Arabidopsis thaliana: one gene and its partner. The protein of the gene in region 2 interacts with the protein of the main gene of each other region in a pairwise test. Each region holds a gene or a part of one and is shown on either strand. Other genes may lie near its edges. The genes, in order: AT3G57600 and MYB3R-5.

Region 1 (10,570 bases), on a different chromosome or scaffold from region 2:
TATCTGTTGCATTGTTTCTAATATTGGAATGAAGAGGAATTCTGTGCTTAAGCAGTGAGGTTGCTATATTCATAATGTTTAAGCTTTCGTGTTTGATCTTACTCTATTCGTTCCATTGATAAGAGATCCTTTTATGTCTTAAACCTGAGAAAGTCGTGAAGGTTCATTGTAGCTGCTGTTTATGCTTGTTGAATATCTGTGGATGTTATCTATACTTAGCAAATTTCTTCAGATTTTGATCAGTGCTGGCAGGTGAAACTTTCTGGTGGGAGTTTATGCATCGTGTGATATGTCTCTAGGTTATTCAGTTTTGTTGTTTTCTTTTCTCGACAGAAAGTTTGCGTTGGTCAGTTCGAAGGCGAATCTTAAAAATTTGTTCATACCATCATGATCTTTATTTATTGATCATGAGTTTCTAGTATTATTGAGATATTAGATGTGATCTCCATGAAAGGGGATATGATAGGTAAGCTTTTTTGCATTGTTACTTGCACAAAACATATCATTCTATTAGGGCCGTGACTTTCACTTACTATTTAAACTATCGAGCTAAAGGATAGCGAAAAAATGAACATGCTTCATTAATATACCAAAAAAAGCGAACAACTCGGTTGTACACTGACTCACTTTATTGCTGCATAATAAAAGACTGCACTCTCACTACCTATGTCTCTTTTCCAAAACGCTACACTAAATCCAAAACCATTTGTGTACTTCTGAATCTTGATCTACCTTAAATTGCTTTTACTCAATCTAAGCTTCCGTAGTAGTCCCAGATGGAAGGGAAGGATACATCATCCTCAAAATCATAGCTTCCGAAGTTGCTGGAGTCAAATTGCATAGTTGTGGTTTCACTTCTTGGCATCTCGATCAGGGTATCCCAGCTGAAATTCTCAGTTCTGAAAGGACTTCCAGTTTCTTCTTGCTCGTTCCATGGTGGAGGGGAATGACACTCTGCTACCTCACTTGGTTCTGCTTCATTTTCATCCTTCAAGATTCCTAGTTGCTGAAGAAACTCGGTCAGGTCGATCTCTGGTTTCTTCTGATCACCACCTTCGAACATATTGTCTGTTTCTCCCTTGCTGGTCTTCTCATCAAGAAAGCTAGTATTAGTTTTTGATTCGGTGGAGGAAGAACTAGAAGAATAGGATTGAGATAAAAGTCCAGTTTTCTTGAGTTCTTCTAGTCTTTGCTGGATTATGTGAACACTAGGCTGAGCATTCACGTTTAGCATACCACATGAAGGAAACATAGATATAAACTTCCTTGAAGGTACCCATTTGAACCTCTGAGAGTTACTCAGAGAAGGTCTTGTATTCCGCTGAAGATGAGGTAAGTTGAGGTATGCGTCGTGCCCATAGAGTTTCAAGGCAGCCTCATCATAAGCCATAGCTGCTTCTTCAGCTGTAGCGAAAGAGCCAAGCCAAAGTCTTGCCCTCTTCTTGGGCTCTCTGATCTCAGCCACCCATTTGCCCCAAGTCCTTTGCCTGACTCCACGGTACTGACAAAGAGCGTTTTGTGGACCGCCTTTACCCCGAGCAGGACCCTTCTTCCATTGTTTCATTGAGGATGATTTCTCCATTTGTGTTGTAGTGGAGAAGAAGATTGATAGTGAAGAAGGAAGAAGAGGATATGATAATGGAGCTTAGAAAGAGTATGTGAGTGCTTAAATAATGTCACGGTTCGCTTCAATTCCTAGAGAATTGCTTTTTTCACCCGCGCATGTGACCGTTGCTTTTCTCATATTCTGTTATTTTCAAAAGAAAAAAAAAAAAAAAAACTTTTAACCATTTTTGATCTCAACTTCATATTTATATAATTCTTCTACCTAGGCTCAAACTAGAATAATATAATCCCTAGTTCTTGGTGTCCCCTGCATTCCAAACAGTCGCAATGCCAACCTTATTAGTTATTACACCTTTTTGATGATAGCTTAAGAAGTTAGAACAATTGCACACACACATTTTTTTTTTTTTTGGATTATTATGTTCAAAAATTTCTGTTAATCATCAGGAACTCAAATGTTTTTTTTTTTGTTTTTCTTTGTTATGACTAGCTCTAATATTTTACTTGTACATGTTACCAAGATATCTAGCGAGACAAGGTTTTTTGGGTTCCTAGAATTATTTTTCTTGAGGACACTTTAAAGCTTTAAAGCTTTTACGATATCTCATCTTTATCTTTTTGTTGTTTCCTTCTTTCGTCGGAGAATCGGAGAGCCATGCATGAGAAAAAGAGAGGCAAGAGTCACGAGTCGTCGCAGCACACAAGAATCACATGTTCGATCGTGAGAGTGAAGTGACGTGTTTTCTTCATTCTCGAGATTTTCAGATTTAAGCGCCGCTCCCTTCACCATTATCCCATGCTTCTTCCTTCCTCTCTTACCATCACATTTAACTCACCACATTGTTCCCTAATCCCATTTATTTTAATAGTATATGACTTGTACATAATTCTACACAAATCCCAAAAAATAAAGAAAAAGTAATAACTGAACCCATTTTCTTCTGTTTCACTAAAGCAAAAACACAAACTGATTATATTTCTATTTCGTTTTTATTGATTGTTTAATCCAAAAAAAGGAGTGCTAAGCCTAATAAATTTATCTCTGTATTGACACATTTGTCACCAGATACTAAGCTTTTGCTTTAGCCATTAAACAATTGTTCTTCATCCTAAATCAAAAAGCAAGCTCTACCTCTACTGTCTTTTTTTTTTGTTGCTAATAGTAGCTAGAGATTCCATAACCAGTTACCAAAACATATTTGGTCTTTACATTTTACATGATATTTAGAATCCCTGTGAAAACTAATCCTTCATTCGCTACCACATATCTAACATACCGATTGGCACGTGAGAGAACAAACCAAAAGTCCCAATTATCGCAATGAATAAATGGGCTTAGCTCATTCACAACTATGCTAAAGCCCAAAGGCCCATACAATCCCAATCTTGTTGCGTCGTATTAAACCTTCTCCTTCTCCGACGAAACAATCACACACTCCGGCGGCAATAAACGCTTCTTCATGGAACCAATCCCAAATGATCTCATTCTCGAGATCTTCTCGAGATTGCCGGCGAAGTCAGTCATTGGATTTCGTACCTTGTCGAAGCACTGGGCGTCTATGCTTCGCAGTCCAGTTTTCACCGAGCTCTTCCTGACCAGATCCTCGAATCGTCCACGTCTGCTGTTTGCTGCCGAACGAAATGGTGAGTGGCTCTTCTTCTCGTCGCCGCAGCCACAGAATCGATATGAGAAGTCTTCTCATTTGGATTATCATACAAAATTCTCAGGAGACGTAAGCCGATTCATTTGTAGCTATGTCTCAGGTTTGCTCTGTTTCCCTGATTTGTGGCTCTCAAAAGATGCATCGCCTGTGATTTGTAACCCTACCACAGGAATGTATGAGAGCTTACCTGATCTGATGAGGTACAAAAATGCTCGAGGCTTTCTAGGGTTTGATCCCATTGGTAAGCAATTCAAGGTATTGTCTGAGGCTTATCCATTTTCTGATCAAAGGGAACATCATGAGATTCTGACATTAGGAACTGAGGAACTGAGCTGGAGGAGTAATATCATTAGTTGTCCTGCATATGATCGTTCTTTGAGTGAAGGAATATGTATCAATGGAGTTTTGTATTACTTAGCTCAGACTCTTGGTGTACCGTCTTGTGTGATCATTTGCTTTGATGTAAGGTCTGAGGAATTTAAGTATTTTGACGCAGGATGCTTTAATGATCAACTTGATGATACTAGTGGGTTGATTTTGGTAAACTATGAGGGTAAATTAAGTGGGATTAATTGGAAGTATGGTCAAGCTGGTGAAAGGCGCACCGTTGAGTTGCGTATGTGGGTTCTAGAGGATGCCGAGAAGCATGAATGGGTTAAATATGTGTACACTCTGCCGGAGAATGAAGTCCTTGATTCCTGCGACTTTTCAGTTGCTGGAGTGACTACTAGAGGTGATATTGTTTTGTGTATGAAATATACATGTAAACCGTTTTATGTGTTCTACTTCAATCCCGAGAGGAACACTCTCCAGAGCGTTGAAATCCAAGATTTTGGAGCTAACCTTGAAGCGGTTGAGAATTGTGGTAGAGTTTATGCTTTTGTTAACCATGTAGAGGATCTTCGGGTTAACAAAGGGAAGCAACTCAAGTCAAGCATCTCTCAAGTCAAGCATCTCTGCTCATGCTGTAACAAAGTATCGCAGCCTGATTATCATTACCAAAAGGCTTAAACCAAAGGGAGAGAAGAAATGAAAGAGACAGTAGGGAAGAAAAGAGACAAGGGATGAGGTAAAAAGCAGTAGGGCATGTCATATATGTGTTTATGTTCTTTAGTTATAGACGTTGGAAGATCTGTGAGTATGAATCAAATCTAGCTTTGGTAGTGTATTACAAATATTTTGAAGTGAATCGTATTGTAGCATTGTTGACCTTTTTTTGGTTAATCAATTTTTCCTATAGTTTAATGATATCTTCTACCCGAAATTAAAGTGCAATTTCTACTGTCTATTAAATTTCTGTACTCTGGTATCATTATTTTGTATTTTAAAAAGTAGCTGGAGATTCTATACCCAAACTTATTTGGTCTTTGCATTTCACATAATTTTATAGAATCTCTACGAAAAGTTAGGCCAATACCATCGTTTGCTTGCTAGCACACATACGGACTTCATTGGCACATGAGAGAACAAACCATAAATTACGACAATGAATAAATGAGCTCATTCACAATTACGCTAAAGCCCAAAGGCCCATCAAATTCACTGTCTATTTCTTTCGTTTTTTTTTTTTTTTTTCCCTAAAAGTTATCTTTCATTCATTCATGTCATTGTGTTCTTACAAAAAGTGTTTGAGTGGTCTAACCACTTACAAACCTTTGATTCAAACATAACAAGATGATCTTAGAAGTAAAACGAGAAACATGAAATAATAAACCTGAAACTTAACAAAGTTAAGGATATGTCAGAACCAAAAAAACATATCCAACTACTTGAAGCTGCTATCCTAGATTCCCTGTAGTCTTCAACAAAAATTGACAGAAGTCTTGTTAGAGTGGTTATCTCTTTTTGGGAGGTTTCAGACTCTCTCCCATTCTTGAAGCACTGTGTAGACGAGTTTGAAGTCTAGGATCCTCTGCTTCTCTTCTTACTTCCTGTCTTCTTGAGGATTGACCGACTTCAAAGACTCTGTTGTTATCATGATTAGGAGTGTCTGCTCTTGTTGGAGTGGTACTAGAACTCGATGACCATTGTTGTCTTGCAGTACTAGATTCTCCAACATGTAATGTATGAGTATCTCTAACTGATGCATAGTATGGATACGCAGCTCTCAATTCTTCAGGATTCAGTGGTGGATGAGCAATTCTAGGAGGCGGTGTCACAGGAGCAGGAAATGAAGTCTCCGTCATCTGCGATTGAGAGTTCAAGCTTGACCTATGAACACTGTCTCTGAAGACAGCTCTTTCTCTGGCTATGCTGTGGGGACGTGGTCTATAGGGACAATAAGCTCTGTTGTGCGTAAACCTGAAGCAACTGCTACAGATTCTTCTGAGGCGCTCATATTGAAATCTGATGGTAACCACTTCTCCCGAATCAAAGATGATTCGTTGGAAGAATCTGAGCCTGTCTGTGATGCCAAAACGCACTCTAACTCGGATATAAGTAATTTGAGTAGATGTTGCGTCATGATGATCCAGCATGATGACTTCTCCTAAGTCACGTGCTATCTCTAGAGCCGTCTCTTCACACACATAGGGCAGGGGAATTCCTCTAATCTGCACCCAAAGATCAATAGAAGTAACAAAGTTAAGAGCAGGAGCAGGTTCCCATCTTTGAGTAGCCACGAACCAGTTGTTGAAAATCCATGGTTCTCTTCTTTGTACTGACTGCAAGTCAACTTCATTTTGGAAGAGAAATTGAACATAAGTTGCATCCAGAATTCTTCCATGGACATGCACCGTCATTCCCCAGTACCGAGGTAAGGCTGCAATCACCGCGTTCAAGTTTTGGACTCTTGGGTTGAGAGGTCTTGCAATTATACTCAGTCGATTGAACTCTTCAACATACACATAAGCTTCATGGGGAATGAAGAGGGCTGGATCCTCAGGACCTAGATCCAGGCCTTGAATTTCATCCCACAATTCATCTGCCATGGAGGTAAGATTGAAAAGAGAAAAGGAACAAGAAAGACTGAGACCTAATGACGTAAAGGAGTAAACACTTATAATATATAGACTCTAACCTTAATGAAAAAATTAGGAAAAAAGAAATTATTAAAAAACTAGACTCGAAGAACCTAAGTGGAAATCCTAAACTTACTAAACCTTTGACTGAAGAAAACAATCATTAGAAAAGGACAAAAACTAATCCACCTCCACACCTAACATTCTATTTGATTAACAACTCAGCAATTAATCTGAGCATCTAATTCCCAAAGATGACACCTCCGACTGATTTGATAATCTGAGTTAAACCACCTGTAACCAAATCAAGCCTCCAATGAACACTGTCACAATCTCCCTAGCTGAGTCATTTCGGAAGCAAAGAGATTTCCTAGCCAATGGGGAAAACCCCGAGAGACATAAGATTGCCATCTGTGCCCAGTAATAACACTCTTAGCAATCTCAAAAGCTCCTTTATTACAGTGTTTTGGTTCCAAAGCCATGAACCAACCACTTTTCTTTTGTGATAACTTCAAGAGTTGACTTGTATGGCCTAATAATGATGGCCATTCTTCTGGTTTGTAGAGAGCTTTAATAATGTCATGTGTTGAGGCTCTGAAAGTGACTCTGTCAAAATGATGTTGTGCCATGCTTGTAAGAGCCCATTCCCAACTTCTAATCTTTGCATCCAACATAGAATGAACATGAGAATAAGATCTCCTACTATGAAGTAACACCTTTCCCAGAGCATCTCTCACAACCCAAGATGCACCAGAAGCTTGTAAACGATTAGACCAGGCCACACCAATATTGCATTTAATCTCATTCTGAGGAGGAGGACTCCAATTCAACTTTGACTTTGATTCCTTGATACAGACATCTTGTTGGGCTGAACACCATTGATTACAATCCACATAAGCTTTGTCTACAATGCTTTGAGTCACAGAAGTAACTCCCTCAAACAGAATTTTATTCCTATGTTTCCATAAGACCCAGATTATCCAAGGACTAACATAACTCACATTACTAGAACTACTCAGTTTCTGACAATAGTTCAAAACATGGTCCATATTAGTAAAGATTGAAGATCCAAAACCTTTTTCAGGGGATTGCATAAGGGACAGCGCCCAGACTTGTCTTGCCAATGGACATTGGAATAAAATGTGGTTAATTGTTTCATTCTCCTCATTACACATTAAGCATCCATCCATTGCCTTGATACCACGAGTTCTTAGTCTGTCTTCCACTGCTACAGCTCCTTTTAAGACTTTCCATAAGAAGACCTTAATTTTAGGCGCCGTATGAAGACTCCAAATACTGCAAAAAAGAGGGTTTACTGAAGGGTTCACTGCAGCCTCTTGATAAATCTTTTGATGAGCTTGTCGACTAATCAGATCATACCCTGATTTAACCGTGTAAATGCCATTATTATTGCCAGACCAACAATAAGAATCATTTCGATTTACCATCGGTCTTTGATTAAGCATTATCAGAATATCCGTCCAAGGAAATAACTGACTCATAAGATTCAGATTCCAGTTTCCAGAAATGGGGTCAATGAGTTGATTCACTTTCATGCTAATATCCATCAAAGAATGAATACTCGAAGGTCTTCTATTCAGACCATCAAAAAGCCACTTATCAACCCAAACAATGGTTTGTTGCCCATTGCCAATAATCTTTTTTAAACCCTTCTGCAATAAGTCACGACCATACAAAATACTCTGCCAAGCATACAAAGGACGTGTTCCTTTAGAGGCATTAAGGAAATCAGTATTGAGGAAATACCTGCTTTTAAAGATCTTGGACAAAAGACTATCTTCATTCTTAAAGATTCTCCATGCTTGTTTGGCTAATAAAGCTTGATTAAAGCACTGAAGGTCTTTAAAACCAAAACCTCCTAGAGATTTAGGCAAAATTAATTTTTGAGCCCCAATCCAGTGAATCTTTTTCGTATTCTGCATTGAATTCCACCAAAAGTCAATCATAGCACCAGTTAACCTTGAGCATAGAGATTTAGGTAGCCTAAAACAAGTCATTGCATACACAGGGAGAGCCATCGCAATAGACTTCAATAGAATCTCTTTACCCCCCTGGGATAAAGTTTTAGCGTACCAACCTATGAGTCTGGCCTGTAATTTTTCCTTTAAGAACTCAAATAAATCCTTTTTCGAACCTCTTAAGCATTCCGGTAGTCCCAGATACTTTCCATACCCACCTTCCAATTGGATTCCTGATCTATTCTTAATCCAATCTTTTGTGTCCTCGTCAATTTTGGCTCCAAAGGTGACAGCAGACTTTTCCAAGTTAATCACTTGTCCTGAGATATGTCCATACTCTGATAAACAATGCATAAGCTCTTCACATTCATTCTTTGTAGCTTTACAAATTATCAAAGTATCGTCAGCAAACAATAAATGATTGATTGAAGTCCCCGCCTCATTAAACCTTATTCCTGTTACTCTCCCATCTCTTTCTGCTTGATTTAGAATATGCACCAAAGCTTCCGTGCACAAAACAAAAAGAAAAGGGGATAAAGGATCCCCTTGTCTTATACCTCTTTCAGGAAACAATTTACCAAAGGCTTGACCATTTATCAGAACAGAATAAGAGACTGAAGTCACACAACTCATAATCCAAGAAATCCATTTGATATTAAAGCCCATAGCTGTTAAAATTCCTTGTAAAAAAGGCCATTCAACCCTATCATAGGCCTTGGACATGTCTGTTTTGAAAGCCAAAAACTCTTTGGAAATCTTATCATTAGTTCTCAAATTATGAATTATCTCATGAGCAATGAGAATGTTATCAGAAGCTAACCTCTCAGCAACAAATGCAGATTGGGTTGGGGAGACTAACTCTGGAAGATGTTTCTTCAGACGAGCAGATAGAATCTTTGACACGATCTTGTATAATACCGAACACAAGCTGATCGGTCTAATATCTGCCATTCTTCTTGGGGGTGAAATTTTTGGAATCAAACATAGATGTGTGTGATTCCATTGATCTGGCATGATTCCCGTTTGAAAGAAGCCCAAGATGTCCTCCATTATCTGCTTCTTAACTAAAGACCAATGAGACTGAAAGAATAGAGCAGTGAAACCATCAGGACCTGGTGCACTCTCTGCATTTATAGAGAATACCGCATTGTAAATCTCCTCCTCTGATACATCTTTAGTCAAGTCAATATTCATTTCAGAAGTGACTCTTGCTTGGAATCCATGTAAGATTGATTGCATATTAGCAGGATAGGACGAAGTAAAGAGATCTTTGAAAAAGCTTAAAGCAATGTTGCCTTTCTCTTTAGCTACAGTATGTTCATTCCCTTCTTCATCAACTAAAAAGCTTAGTGAGTTCTTAACTCTATTAGCCTTGACAGAAGCTTGGAAAAATTTAGAATTCTTATCACCTCCATCTAACCATTTGTCTCTACTCTTTAACCTCCAGAAAGATTCCTCTTCATAAAAGGCAGCACTTAAAAGATCTTGTAACACTGAGACTTTAGGCCAAGAAGGAAACTGAAAACTTTTTTCCTCATCCAGCTCTTTCCTCAGACATTTTATTCTGTTCTGAGCATTGAAATTATTCCCCTTTTTCCATTTACCAATGGCTTTCCTGCACTCCACTAATCCCATCATTGATGACGACACTTCTGAAGAAACAATCTCATTCCAAGAAGAACGAATAGCTTCTGCACAATTAGGATCATCTGCAAATCTTTTATCAAAATGAAATTGACCACGAAAGACTTCCTGATCATTCACAAACTTTACAAGAACAGGCCTATGATCTGAACCCATTTTTTCAAGAAACCATTGATGTGATTTTGGAAACATAGAAAACCAAGCCGAATTTCCAAAGCATCTATCTAATTTGCAGTGAATCCATTGATCATTACGAGTTCCTCCCCAAGTGTAACTATTCCCTGAACTTCCTAATTCATGCATGTCACACCAGCTAAGCATATCTTTGAATGGTTGAAAAGAAGAAGACAGTCTAGAAGGGCCTCCTAACTTATCTTGATTAGATGTGATATCATTAAAATCACCTATCATACACCAAGTTGATTTCCTGAATTCACCAATAGAGCATAACTTGTCCAAAAGCAAATATCTGAGACTTGCCATTGGATTCCCATACACACAAGAAACAAACCAACTTTGAGAACCTTGAATCACTTTCAAATCCAAAAGATTCTTGTCTTCATACAAAAACTCAATTTCTAGGTTATTTTTCCAAAAAAGAGCGAGACCTCCACTTTTGCCTTCTGGTTCTATTGTGTGAAAATAATCATATCCAAGCCAAGTAAAGATTTTCATAACAAAAGGATCACAATTCATGGTCTCCATGAGGAACAAAATATCAGGAAAATGATCTTTTTTCATTTCCTTTAAGTATCGA
Region 2 (13,016 bases):
GAGGAAATTTTGTTCTGCATCATTCTTAATGATGTCATTTTTCCTGCAGAAATCTAAACTATTGAGTTTTGTGGATAGAGGCCCTCCATCTTGGGATCAATGTCCACAATCCGAAAAGAAGATATCTGTGGATGGAGCTCCTGATCTTTTGAGAATGAATGCTTCTTCAGATAGTTTAAGAATAAGTTCTCCTCTCATGCTGCAATTGTCAGATGATACTATCTCTGAGTCTGCTAATATGATTGAATCTATAAAAGCCCGGCTTATAGGGAATGGTCAGACAGAGAAGAGGTCTAGCGATGGGAGGGGAAAAGATGAATCTAACATGGAATCATTGGAGATAGCCATGTATCAAACTGTTCGCAACAAAATTGAAAACATGATAAATCAAAGCCTTACACGTGTAGATCATCAACCCCATGAAGCTGAAAATTGTTCGGAGAAAAATTCTGTTGGTGGTCCATCTACTTTGCAAGGTAGATTTCCTGATATTCGATCAAGACAAACTTCCAGGCGTCCTGATGCTGGTTCAGATGGGTTTCACCCTATCGACTGTGATGGGGTTTATCTTTCATCATGTGGACATGCTGTACATCAAAGCTGCCTTGAACGATATTTAAAATCCTTAAAGGAAAGGTGAGCCATGTTTGACTTCCTTTGGTTTCGTATGTGAAACAAAAATCTTAATTACTCAGCGTGTAGATAGGTGAATATATTTTTCTTTTAAGTTGATACTTCCTTCCTACCTGTTGGGCATAGGTTAATCAGGCGTGTTGAATTGATTTTCCTTCCTTGATTTACAGCTGTGATATTCACGTTTAAAAGCTTTTTTTGGTTTGTTGGGATGGTGTAGGTCTGGCAGAAGAACTGTCTTTGAAGGTGCACATATTGTGGATCTAAAAAAGGTATTTGTGTGACCAATTTAGAGATATTTTTCTGGTGCTTTAACGTACTCCTTCTGAAGCTTAAACATTGTTTCTTCTGTCAGAAAGAATTCCTGTGTCCTGTATGCCGCCGACTAGCCAATTCTGTATTGCCTGAATGTCCTGGAGATTTATGTTCTGTCTCAAAGCTACAAGATAGTCCACGTACTAAGTTACGTAGAAAAGATGCACTGCAGCCTTCTCTTTGGCTCTCTGAAGCGTTGTGTCTACTACGATCTGCTGCTGAAGTGATCGAAGATGGTGATAGAGGTAAAACAGTTACTCCACAGGGAGATGGACCAAGAAGGAAAGATCTTAAATCTGTCTCTAAAATGCTCTGGGATTTCTATTTTCCCAAGCCAGAGGATAAAACTCTAAAACGTCTGTGGCTACCACCACAATCAATCGTCATGTGGGACACCCTTAAGTACTCTCTCATTTCAATGGAAATTGGTACTCGTTTTGCCAAGAATTCAATGCTGCCTGTCTATTGTATTGACTCCTTGTATGAAGAGTTGAAAACCTCTAAGGGGACTATTTTGTCAGTTTTATTACGAGTGGTACAGAGCTCCAGAACAAAGAATACTATTCATGTTCGTCAGAGATTTGTGGGTATGAAGCATCTTGCAGAGTCTATATGCTATGGAGTTTCAAGTAGTTCTTCGAGCAGCATATTTGGAAGTGAAGGTACTTTTTCTCCAACACTCAAGAGGAAATAAAGGACATGGAAATGTCTGTCTACATGGCCTCCGTAATTGCAAATATTAATGAAATAGTTGCTGACTGTAGTTGTTTCTCGATAACATCTGAGAATATTTGCCATCTTTTCAGGCACAACAGGTTCATTGAAGAATATAGACCTGCTCTGGAATCGAGCATCCGATCCAGTTCTTGCCCATGACCCATTTTCATCACTGATGTGGGCTCTCTTTTGTCTTCCTTTTCCTTTTCTCACGTGCGAGGAATCTCTATTGTCACTTGTGCATATTTTCCACAGTGTCTCGCTTGTTCAGGTATGCCACATTGTTCTCTAAGTATATACAAATTTACCTCTTTAGACGTACGTCTCCTAATCTCATTGTCTTTGGTGCAGACTGTAATTGCTTATTGTGCATGTCGCCCAAGTGAATTGAGTGAATTAAATTTTGGGGAAAACCTGCTTAATGACATCTCCAACGCTTTGAGAGAATCAGGTGGTTGGGAGTATTTCAGGTCGAACAATATGGATTTGTCATGTGATATAAAAGACACAATCCGTAAATATAGTCTTCCTTTCTTGAGGAGATGTGCGTTGTTGTGGAAGCTACTGAAATCTACTCCTAGGAAGCTTCATGAAGAGTCAGATATGTTTGATTTGCCATCTGACCCCACCACCGACAATATGGATTTCATATACAGTCCCCAGTCTGAGCTGAATCATGTGCAAGAATTGGAGAAAATGTTTAACATTCCACCTATAGATATCATTCTTAATGATGAACTTCTCCGTTCTTCAACCCAAATATGGCTCCAGCATTTTCAGCGGGAATATAGAGTCAACAGAGTTAAAAGGTCCCTTTGCATCACCCCTGTAGTTCCTTTCCAGCTAATGAAATTACCCAATCTATACCAGGACCTACTACAAAGGTTTGCAGCAACGTCTCTCTCTGGTTTTTGCACAAGTTGTTTCCCATTCGAAGACTTTTTCTCTAATCAAAAAGCCTTGTTTTCTTTTCTTTTATAGGTGTATAAAAAAACGTTGCGTCAACTGCACCAAAGTTATCGAAGAACCTGTATTATGTCTTCTGTGTGGAAGTTTGTGTTCTCCCATATGGAGCCCTTGTTGCAGGTATTGCCTTTACTTCCACTAGTCTCCAAACATCGTTTTGGTTGACACTGTTATTGTTCTAGAAAACCAAACAATGACGTTCTAACATACTTTTACAGAGAAAGTGGTTGTCCTAATCATGCAATTACCTGTGGTGCTGGTACTGGTGTATTTCTTCTGATACGGGTATCACCTCTCGTCTTCTCTCTCTCTCTCTCTCTCTTGTGGATATAACTCTCCTTTACTTTATATATTGCTCGTGTATGTATGGAGTTTGCATCATTTGTGGGCTTTCTAATTGATTACTGCTCTACATTTTTCGATAGCGGACCACAATTTTGCTACAAAGGTTTGCAAGACAATCACCTTGGCCATCTCCTTACCTGGATACGTTTGGAGAAGAGGTAAACCTAGAAAGATTTTTTTCTTTCTTTTCCTTTTAACTTTGATGGGTACGATCTTGTTGATTCGGATGTTTCCATGCTGTTGGTCATTGAATATTGTTTCAGGATATCGATATGATCAGAGGAAAACGACTATACCTGAATGAAGAACGTTATGCTGCTTTAACTTACTTGGTAAATGTTTGTCTCAACAATCAAAAGAAGAAACTTTTGTTTGTATGGTAAAATATATAATTGTTTTGCTTGGTGAAATCCTTTTCAGGTTGGTTCTCATGGACTTGATCGCAGTTCAAAAGTTCTCGGCCAAACCACAATTGGAGCCGTCTTACATTAAACGATCTGCGTGCTATTTCTCAGACATTGATCTCTATGAGATGGTATTCATATGTTGCTTTGAAATCATCAGTTAAGATTCTAAAGATTTGAGAGCTTTTCTGATGATTTTTTTTTATTTGATTTCTGTCACTTTGGTTGATTTCTTTATTTGTGGATATATGCGATCATGTTTGTAAATAGAGTATTATTTCTTGGCAGTTGCATAATGTTTATTTTTAACAATACTATCATTGGTTAGTCTCTGTGCGCAGATTTGCATTGTTTCTTTTATTTTATTCAGGCTTACTACCTGAAAATGGTCGATAAACATCCCAATGATTAAAAAAAAAGTGTTGATTTTGAGAAGGTTTATTTGTAAAATTTTTGATATATGTACAGATTGATCCAGAGAAAGGATAGTATCAAAACGAATGTGTTGTGTTCTGATATCACTTCGATGTCCGAAAATGGAAGAATTTTCAGTGTCTTCGTCAACTATGTAACATCATATACTCAAAAGCCCTAAAAATAAAAAAGAATTAACCAAAATTCTAATCCTTTAAAACTAGTTTCTGCACAATTATCATTTTAAACGTAAACAGGACACCATGTATGTGAACGATGAAATTAAACTACTTGTGAGTGTACCTACCTACCTATTTCATTTTAGTTCGGGTGTTAGACCAAAGCCGTAGATTCATAGCTCAAGGCTGTGAGGAAGAGAATGAGAATTGTTTTTCTTCACGGTTCTCTTCCCAGCAAAGCTTCAATTCTTCTGGAACCATACTGGTTTCTTCACACGATCTCTGTGTCAACAAGGATGGAATTATTTTAGATTTGTTACTCAGATTAGTGACATTAAATAAAAGATTTGAAATTTTCACTCACAGTTTTCTAAGGGAAGAAGGGTTCTACACAGGCTTGTCTTCCTCAGACGTTTTAATTTCATTATCAGGCTGCTTCTCTTTTGCAGATGTAAACTCAATCTCATTATCTGGCTGCTTCTCCTTTTCAGATGTAAACTCAAGCTGTCTTGATTTGATTACAGCTGTTCTTTTAGCTCTTAACCGATATGGTGGAGACAAATTGAAAGCATTTCCATTTAACCCGAGTTCTTCATCATCACTGCAATTATCAGTTGTCTCCAGCAACAAACTTTTTCTCATATCTTTACTTTCTTCTTTTCGATCAACTTCCTTAACTACACCATTAACAACAACAACAGCATCTGTTTTCGCTGCCAAAACAACCTTTCGCCTTTTCCTAAAAATAGAAGGTGTGTTTGGAAAAGTCCTAGCAGCTTCTCTCAAGAAAGATTCAGGACTTCTCGTTGCAGTTAAACCACTGTCTTTATTACAGGGTGTAGTCATTAAGCTGACTGGTGATGCAGCACCGGGACTGCAACCACATTCATATCCGTACATATGTTGCAGATCCGCTTCTGATGGAAAGTAATAGTCAAGTGGAGACTTATAGTATAAATTCCCATGCTTTGGAGTTCCAAACCCGTTTTCTACTTTCCTCTGGATTGATCTCTCAAAATAAGCTTTTGAGTTGATTCTGACTTCCTCTGAAATTGGTTCCAGATTAGGCAACTGAGGCTTGTACTCAACAGGAGAGCAAGCATACTCATTGACACCGATTCTTCGTGAAGCAGCTACTTCTTCAAGCAGAGCGGAAGAAGAGTCAAAATGGTCTCTTCCAACTTCATTTGAATCTGTATTTCCTGAAGAGGTTTGGGTAAGCGAATCAGAATCCTTGAAAGGTTTAGTTGCACTAGACTGCTTGGAATCTCTGTCTCCATCAGCAATATCTTTCAGAACGATGAATTTGCTTGCTGGCGGTGGCAAGTTACCAGTTGCTAAGTAGAACTCTAATTTTTTCTTCAGTGAACTATTCCAATGGTTCTTTATGGCGTTATCAGTCCTGCAAAAAGTACAGGTAGACATCAGAAGCAAAAACTGTATGAGATGTTCAAAAATGTCCATTAACTTTATTTTTCACAAGGCCTTTTTCAACTACAAGTAAGTATACCTTCCTGGTAAAACCTTAGCAATTTCCGCCCATTTGTTTCCGTACATTCGATGAGAATTCATGAGAGCTGATTCTTCTTCTACGGTCCAAGCATCCTTTCTAATACCAGGATTTAAATGGTTGTGCCACCTGTAATCGTAAACTCGTTGAGGCTTCCAAACTCAACGGAGGTACAGGCTCTATTCTTCAGATAGTCAATATTCTAATCTTTGTTACCTTTCTCGACATTGTTTCCCAATACGACCTGGTAAGGACTTGGCGATGACAGACCATTTGGCAGGTCCATATTTTTTTACAAGTTCAACGATTTTATCATCCTCCTACAATTCACGAAAGAAAGAGAATTTTAGAGCTACCAAATTTTTACGTAAAATGAAAACCAAAAAAAGTTTCAGAACATGAAAATGATAAGAGAACCTCTTGAGTCCAAGGTCCTTTAACAAGCTCTGGATTAAGAACTTTCTGCCACCTGTGCAAGCATTGGACTTCTGTTCTCTCTGGGAAAAATTCCGCTGTAAGATGAAATACAAAAAAATCAAACAAACAGAACATTGACCGAAACCAGCTACTTTAACATTTAAGAGACAAAAAAGAAATCATGGTTCTCTTGCAAAGTGCACAGCAGAGATCATGTTTACTGAATGAGAAAAATTCACAAAATTCTCAGCAGATTTAAGATACGAGTTCAGTTTTAAAAATGTATAAATTATACATTCAAGTATACATCAAGACAAGAGTGTGATTAGAAGACCTATAATCTCATTCTAATGTATTGCAATACTACTTTTACATTCAAGAAAAGAAATTTACCTATTTTCTTCCACCTCTTCCCCTTATACTTTTCAACTGCTCGTCTAAGTGTCTCATCCTGAATAGTGATAAAAACCAATTACAGACCACAATAAGGCTAGTCTCGTCTTTCATTCAAGTAAACACTAATCCTTATACATATAAGATACATAGTCGAATGAGGTTGCTCCACACACCAACAAAATTATGAAACAAAAGCAACCACTAACCTCCTCTGGAGTCCAACCACCTTTTGCTCGTCTCATAGGTCCACTAGTCCTCCTGCAGATCAACATTAAAACATTGCAGAAACCCAAAATGAGTTCGGTGTAAGTCATCAAAGCACAGTCTTTCCAATCAATCAATTTCATAATAAGTTGTATAAACACACAGATAGAAGATGAAATGTAAAAGATAGTAAAAGTACCGAGGAAATGAAGATACTGTGGCAGGAGTTGCGATTTCAGGTGACTTGAGGAAGAAACAGCCACTACCTTCGGATGCAGAAGAGCAAGAAGCAGCTAATGGTTGCTTATTCTCCATACATTGAATCTCAATTTTCATTTCACTTCTTTCCTCCTAAAAAACCCATATAAATCACCAAATCCAGAATTTTCGTTAAAAACATGGGATTGAGCACAAAATGAACAAGAACGTATCTTTATCAAACAAATAATCAAAAATCACAAAACCCTAAAAACTCAACGGCCGCAAAATAGAAGCCAGATCTCACAAAAAAACAAGTCGATTTCTTTCAAGCACAAGATGGATGTTTAGGGTTTATACAATTCTAATCATTAGAAACCAATTCAGACCCTTTTCCAAGACCTGTTAAAACGTGTTCCGATTCAGACCTAAAACCCCATGAACTCACACCAAAGTAGACGAAGATAACAATCTGATCACAAAAAATGAAAAGCCCTAATCAGATTTCAGGGAAAAATCTGACCTTTTCCGGTGAACAAACCGGTGGATTCGAACTTGAGCTCATCGTGATCGCCAGATAAGCGAATTCGCGAGGAAGAAGAAGAAGGGAACGTTAAAAAACAAACCAAAACTTATATTCGAAAAAAACTTTGCCCGTTGAACGAGAGAGAAGAGAGAAAGGAGAAGGAGACTAATTGGGATTAAAACAAATATTGTAACGAATACTTCTTCCGCCGACGTAACTGCTAACTGCCGTTAACCTGGAACCGGCCGGTTTATTCCAAACCGACTCAAAAGAATTGGAAGAAGCCGGTTAATTGAATTGAGAAAATGAATGTTTTTTTACGAAACTTATTAATGTGACTGGGCTAATTAATTAATTATAATATTCTTTCGGATAAAAACGAAAACAACGAGTTTAATTCGTGGTTGGATAAAACCGGTTATCTAAAATCAAACTATAACCGAAAATGGTGACAAGAAACCACAGGGGGACTTAACGGACGTTAAAAGTAGAAGAAAGGTTGACGTTGGAAATAAAAGTTTCAACCTCAAACGGCACTCTTTAGCTGATGCGTTGACCATTGTACACGTCGGCAAATCAGAGGTCCTCAATGATTATGGACCGTCGGATCATTAAGATAACTCATTCTGGTTTTTTTTTTTACTGTAGTTTCTTAAGCGAGAACAGTCCGAATTGGCCCATAATTTAAAGCCCAAAGGCCGAGATATAATTAATCAGTCGAGGTTTTTGGGTAAGAAGAAGATATAGAAAATTACAATTCGTTTTAGTAAAAGAAAAGATTACACAAAAACGTAAACAACCAGACAACAAGAAGATTGAGCAAATGGGGAACTAGAAGAAGTTAAGAATCCAAAAGTATTACAATACGTTTTAATAGAAGAAACATATTACAAAACGTAGACAAGCAAATGGGGAGTGAAATATAGCGAATAAGGGACGACGAAGCACCGGCGATGATGACATCTAATCCATCGAACAACTGTAAGAGCAAAATGTCATGTCATGCCAATTGAAAATTACTTTGTGTGGACAACGATCTTCTTTATGAAGTTGGCAGAATGGTCGAGTCATGGTATTGTTGGGAAGAATATAAATGTTTGACCTATAAGCCATTACAGTATGACCAGGATTCAACATATACATCTCTTTTCCAAGCAAACAATCAACATGGAGAGTGGTGCAGCAGTCATCACACGCATAGAACCCACCTTCTCTTGAGTATTCTAATTTCTTTTCGCATACCTCACACCAGTCTAACTGATCACTTCCCTCTTCCCCTTCCCGAAATGTGAGGAAATGTTTGTCAAGCTTATACTTTGCCTTGTATGGTAAAGTAGCACAACTGAAACATATAATATAATTGCATTCGATGCAATTTAGTTTTCGACCATACTTTTTTCGGCAAATTTGACAAATTGCCTCCCTTTCTTCTTTTCGGTCTAAAGCTTGGAATAAGGGATGCTCATGGCCTTGATAATCAAATGGTTCAGAAACAGAGGCACACCGTATGTCTATGCTGTATTGATCCTCCTCATAGATGAAGCCACAACTTTCACGATCACAAGCGGAACACCTGAAGTAACCTTTAAAGTATTCATTCTGTATATCAGAGACAACTTTTAGCGTAAGTGGGTGACTGTGTAAGGCATGATCTTTCTTGCGAGAAGCATTTGCACATGCTTCGTGGAGGATGAAGTTGCATTGATCCATACACGAGTAATAATTACCCTCATAGATTGGAAGGATGCACGCTTGACAAATAATGTTTTCGTTGTAAACTCCACTGGTCTTGAGTTTCAGATGATGGCCATGAGAAAAATGGAGTATTATTCCATCAGCTATCGTCTCAAATGGCTCGAGAATTATTTCAGGTTCTTCAGGTACTCCCTCGAGATCCTTTCCATCCCACAAGTCTTCCCGTAACGCACATCTTGTATGAACAAAATAGTGGCTACACTTGTTGCAAGTGTATGCACCACAATTGTTGTCAACCTTTTTACGACATACTCCACAAGACCATTTTCCAGATGGAAGAGAAGAGGTAAAAGAGATACGGTGTTGGTGACGACATATTTTAATGACATACGGGAAATAGATACAATCTCGATGGGCTACAAAGATACATCGAAGACACACATAGGTGGGGAAAGCTTCTTTAATGAGGCTACAAACATCGCAAAGTAAGGAAGCTTGTTTGGGAAAAAAGGTGAGAAGGTGGGGATGCCTTTTTGGGTGGTCTATAAAAATGGATATTGGCTTCATCGCACAATCGGGATGCAAACTCAATTTGTAGGTGGGACAATAATAAAAAATAAGATTGGAAGGGTGTTTACAGCACATGCAACTCATGAGCTGCTCGTGACGAGTGTAAAGTTTGAGTGAAAGAAAGGGATAGGAAGGGTGTTTGATCTCAAGGGGAGACTCCACGCATTCTTTGTGGAACATTAGATCACACGTGAGACAGATATAATAGTCTGTGCCAATCTTTGATCGTTCACATGCACCGCAATTGAATTGATCGAACTCAATTTCTTTACTGTTACACCAATAGATAGGGACAACTGGGAGCTTACAGATTTCATCACCATCATCATCATGGCTGTTGTCGGAATGAAGCAAATCATGGACTTGTTGGCTGTCGGAATCAAGCAAATGCTGGACTTGTTGATCAGCGCCTCTTATGCTGGGGAAGTACGGGGAAATATTGAACGGTAGAATTTCACTATAAGAATAGTTTATCTCGTCAGCTTTAAGACGTAAAGAAGGACAGAGGAAAAGAGGTTGTTGAAGAGAGAGATGGTCGTCGCCATCAATGGCTGTTTCACCGGAAGAAGAAGGGGTTGTGGTGTCTGTTTGAGATGATAAAGTGTATGTGTGGAATGGTTTCCCATCGATTTCCTTCTCACGAAATACACCGACTGAATTTGAATTCATGGCTGCTTGCTAGCTAGCCTACAAAGATGATTTTGGGTAGTTGTGATATTTCTCGTCTCCTTCTCACCCTTCCATTTATATACAATAATATTAAAGACACGTAAGATACACAGCTAATTTTGATCGATATGTTTAATATTTTTTCAATTATTATTTCGTTTGTTAATCTTTTTATATTCTTTGTTATAGAAAAGTCTTTCATTTTTTTGTTTTTGAATCTCAGTGAGACTAGTCTTTGTTATTACTTATTAACACTTGATTTTAATGGTTTACATTTTTAATCGTTATCACTTTAACAATTCGGTTGACAAAAAAGTAAAAATTGTTCCATCATCTAAAATGTACTTTTTTAAACTGAAGTTTTAAAAGTCTGTGCATAGCACGTCCCCATTTCCTATTTTTTTGCTATAGAATAATCGTCAATAATAGTCAATTATTGTTTCGAAACACTGAAACGATGAGAATATGAATTATTGTTTGACAATTAATTAGCAATTGGACCCTTCTAGTTTTCTCAATTAATTTTTGTATATCCTCTGAGGTTCTGACTATCTCACACGTTATTTGTGCTTTTTTAATATGGATGTTATTTGTGATTTTTTTCTGATTACTCTTTATCAATTTTTTTATCTTTTATTTTATCTCCTGAATCTTCAAATAAAAATACTCATCAATGTAAAATTGTGTATGCATTATGTATATTTGATTTCAAAATAACGAAACAAAAGCAACCACTAACCTCCTCTGGAGTCCAACTACCTTTTGCTCGTCTCATAGGTCCACGAGTCCTCCTCCAAGATCATCTTCTCATAGGTCCACTAGTCCTCCTGCAAGATCAACATTAAAACTAGGGGTATTAAAATTGGTCAAAATTCATGGATCAATTCAACTCAACTCAACCTATGAATCTTAATAAGTTGAAAATTTTGACTCAAATGAGTTGATGGGTCAAACGAGTTATTGGGTCAATTGGTTTGATGAGTAAAATGAGTTGGATTGTAATGGTTAATGATTTCAATGGTTTACCCAATTAAACCATCAAGTTTTGTAAAATTGAATCAAACCAACCAAAATCTCTAAACAAATACCAATTTAAGTTTAACCAACACATCTAAACCAATTTAACAAAATTAATATTTTTCCAAATTTCTTAAATATACAAGCGATGAAATTGAGAAAAAGTAAACTCGTGATTTTCCCGCAAAAAACGTAAACCCGTGATTTTTCCAGCCAAAAACGAAAACTCAAGATTTTCCCAACAAAAAATATAAACTCGTGATTTTTCCGCCAAAAACGTAAACCCGTGATTTTTCCGCCAAAAACGAAAACCCGTGATTTTCCCGCCAAAATACGTAAACCCGTGATTTTCCCGTCAAAAACGAAAACACTTGATTTTCCCGTCGAAAACGTAAAGTTGTAATTTTCCCGCCAAAAACGAAAACCCGTGATTTTCCCGCCAAAAACGTAAACCCGTGATTTTCCCGCCGAAAACGTAAACTTGTGATTTTCCCGCCAAAAACGTAAACCCGTAATTTTCTCGTTGAATACGTAAACCCGTAAAAAGTGGAATCCGTAAATATCCTATGTTTGATGATAATGAATTAATAATTATTAATAATGATAATTATTTATTATTATTTTATAATAATAATTAATTAAATTATTACTTAAATGAGTTAATTCATTTAACAACTCAACCCATCAAATTAAATGAGTTATGGGGTTACCCAACCCATTTAACAAAATGAGTTGGGTCAACTCATAACTCATTTAACCATAAACTCATTTGATTATAAGTTGAGTTGAGTTGGGTTACCCAATTTAAAACATAACAAAAACCAAAATGAGTTCGGTGTAAGTCATCAAAGGACAATCTTTCCAATCAATCAATTTCATAATAAGTTGTATAAACACACAGATAGAAGATGAAATGTAAAAGATAGTAAAAGTACCGAGGAAATGAAGATACTGTGGCAAGAGTTGCGATTTCAGGTGACTTGAGGAAGAAACAGCCACTGCCTTCGGATGCAGAGGAGCAAGAAGCAGCTAATGGTTGCTTATTCTCCATAAATTGTATCTCTATCTTCATTAAGAAGGGAACGTTAAAAAACAAACCAAAACTTATATTCGAAAAAAACTTTGCCCGTTGAACGAGAGAGAAGAGAGAAAGGAGAAGGAGACTAATTGGGATTAAAACAAATATTGTAACGAATACTTCTTCCGCCGACGTAACTGCTAACCGCCGTTAATTTGGCACCGGCCGGTTTATTCCAAACCGACTCAAATGTTTTTCTTATACTTCTTTTGAGTCGGTTTGGAATAAACCGGTTAAATGAATTGAGAAAATATGTGTTTTTTTACGAAATTTATTCATGTGACTGGGCTAATTATAATATTCTTTCGAATAAAAACGAAAACAGCGAGTTTAATGCGTGGTTTGATAGAACCGGTTATCTGAAATCAAACTATAACCGTAAATGGTGACAAGAAACCCACAGGGGGATTTAACGGACGTTAAAAGTAGAAGAAAGGTTGACGTTGCAAACAAAAGTTTCAACCTCAAACGACACTCTTTAGCTGATGCGTTGACCATTGTACACATCGGCAAATCAGAGGTCCTCAATGATTATGGACCGTCGGATCACTAAGATAACTCATTCTGGTTTTTTTTTGTTAACTGTAGTTTCTTAAGCGAGAGCCGTCCGAATTGGCCCATAATTTAAAGTCCAAAGGCCGAGATATAATCAATCAGTCGAGGTATTTGGGTAAGAAGATATAGAAAATTACAATGCGTTTTAGTAAAAGAAAAGATTACACAAAAACGTAAACAACCAGACAAACAAGAAGATGAAGCAAAT

The links.
Region 1: the proteins of MYB3R-5 (region 2) and AT3G57600 interact in a two-hybrid assay, tested with the Arabidopsis thaliana proteins (one large-scale study listed by BioGRID).

The regions. Positions count from the first base shown.
Region 1 is NC_003074.8:21,323,853-21,334,422, reverse strand, and holds AT3G57600 (Integrase-type DNA-binding superfamily protein), read right to left. Parts: upstream 1,650-10,570; 5' UTR 1,583-1,649; coding exon 749-1,582; 3' UTR 505-748; downstream 1-504. Other genes in the region: AT3G57590 (F-box and associated interaction domains-containing protein), read left to right, coding at 3,027-4,241; AT3G57587 (Ta11-like non-LTR retrotransposon), read right to left, coding at 5,066-6,160. UniProt on the Arabidopsis thaliana protein: Transcriptional activator that binds specifically to the DNA sequence 5'-[AG]CCGAC-3'. Binding to the C-repeat/DRE element mediates high salinity-inducible transcription.
Region 2 is NC_003076.8:479,085-492,100, forward strand, and holds MYB3R-5 (myb domain protein 3r-5), read right to left. Parts: upstream 7,390-13,016; 5' UTR 7,264-7,389; coding exon 7,222-7,263; intron 6,852-7,221; coding exon 6,700-6,851; intron 6,581-6,699; exon of another isoform or gene 6,569-6,580; coding exon of another isoform or gene 6,555-6,568; coding exon 6,503-6,554; intron 6,352-6,502; coding exon 6,294-6,351; intron 5,996-6,293; coding exon 5,901-5,995; intron 5,804-5,900; coding exon 5,700-5,803; intron 5,613-5,699; coding exon 5,484-5,612; intron 5,376-5,483; coding exon 4,361-5,375; 3' UTR 4,338-4,360; exon of another isoform or gene 4,256-4,337; 3' UTR 3,709-4,255; downstream 1-3,708. Other genes in the region: PRT6 (proteolysis 6), read left to right, coding at 50-636, 854-905, 989-1,610, 1,755-1,936, 2,017-2,549, 2,647-2,751, 2,850-2,916, 3,057-3,134 and 2 more; AT5G02330 (Cysteine/Histidine-rich C1 domain family protein), read right to left, coding at 8,188-10,158. UniProt on the Arabidopsis thaliana protein: Transcription factor that binds 5'-AACGG-3' motifs in gene promoters. Transcription repressor that regulates organ growth.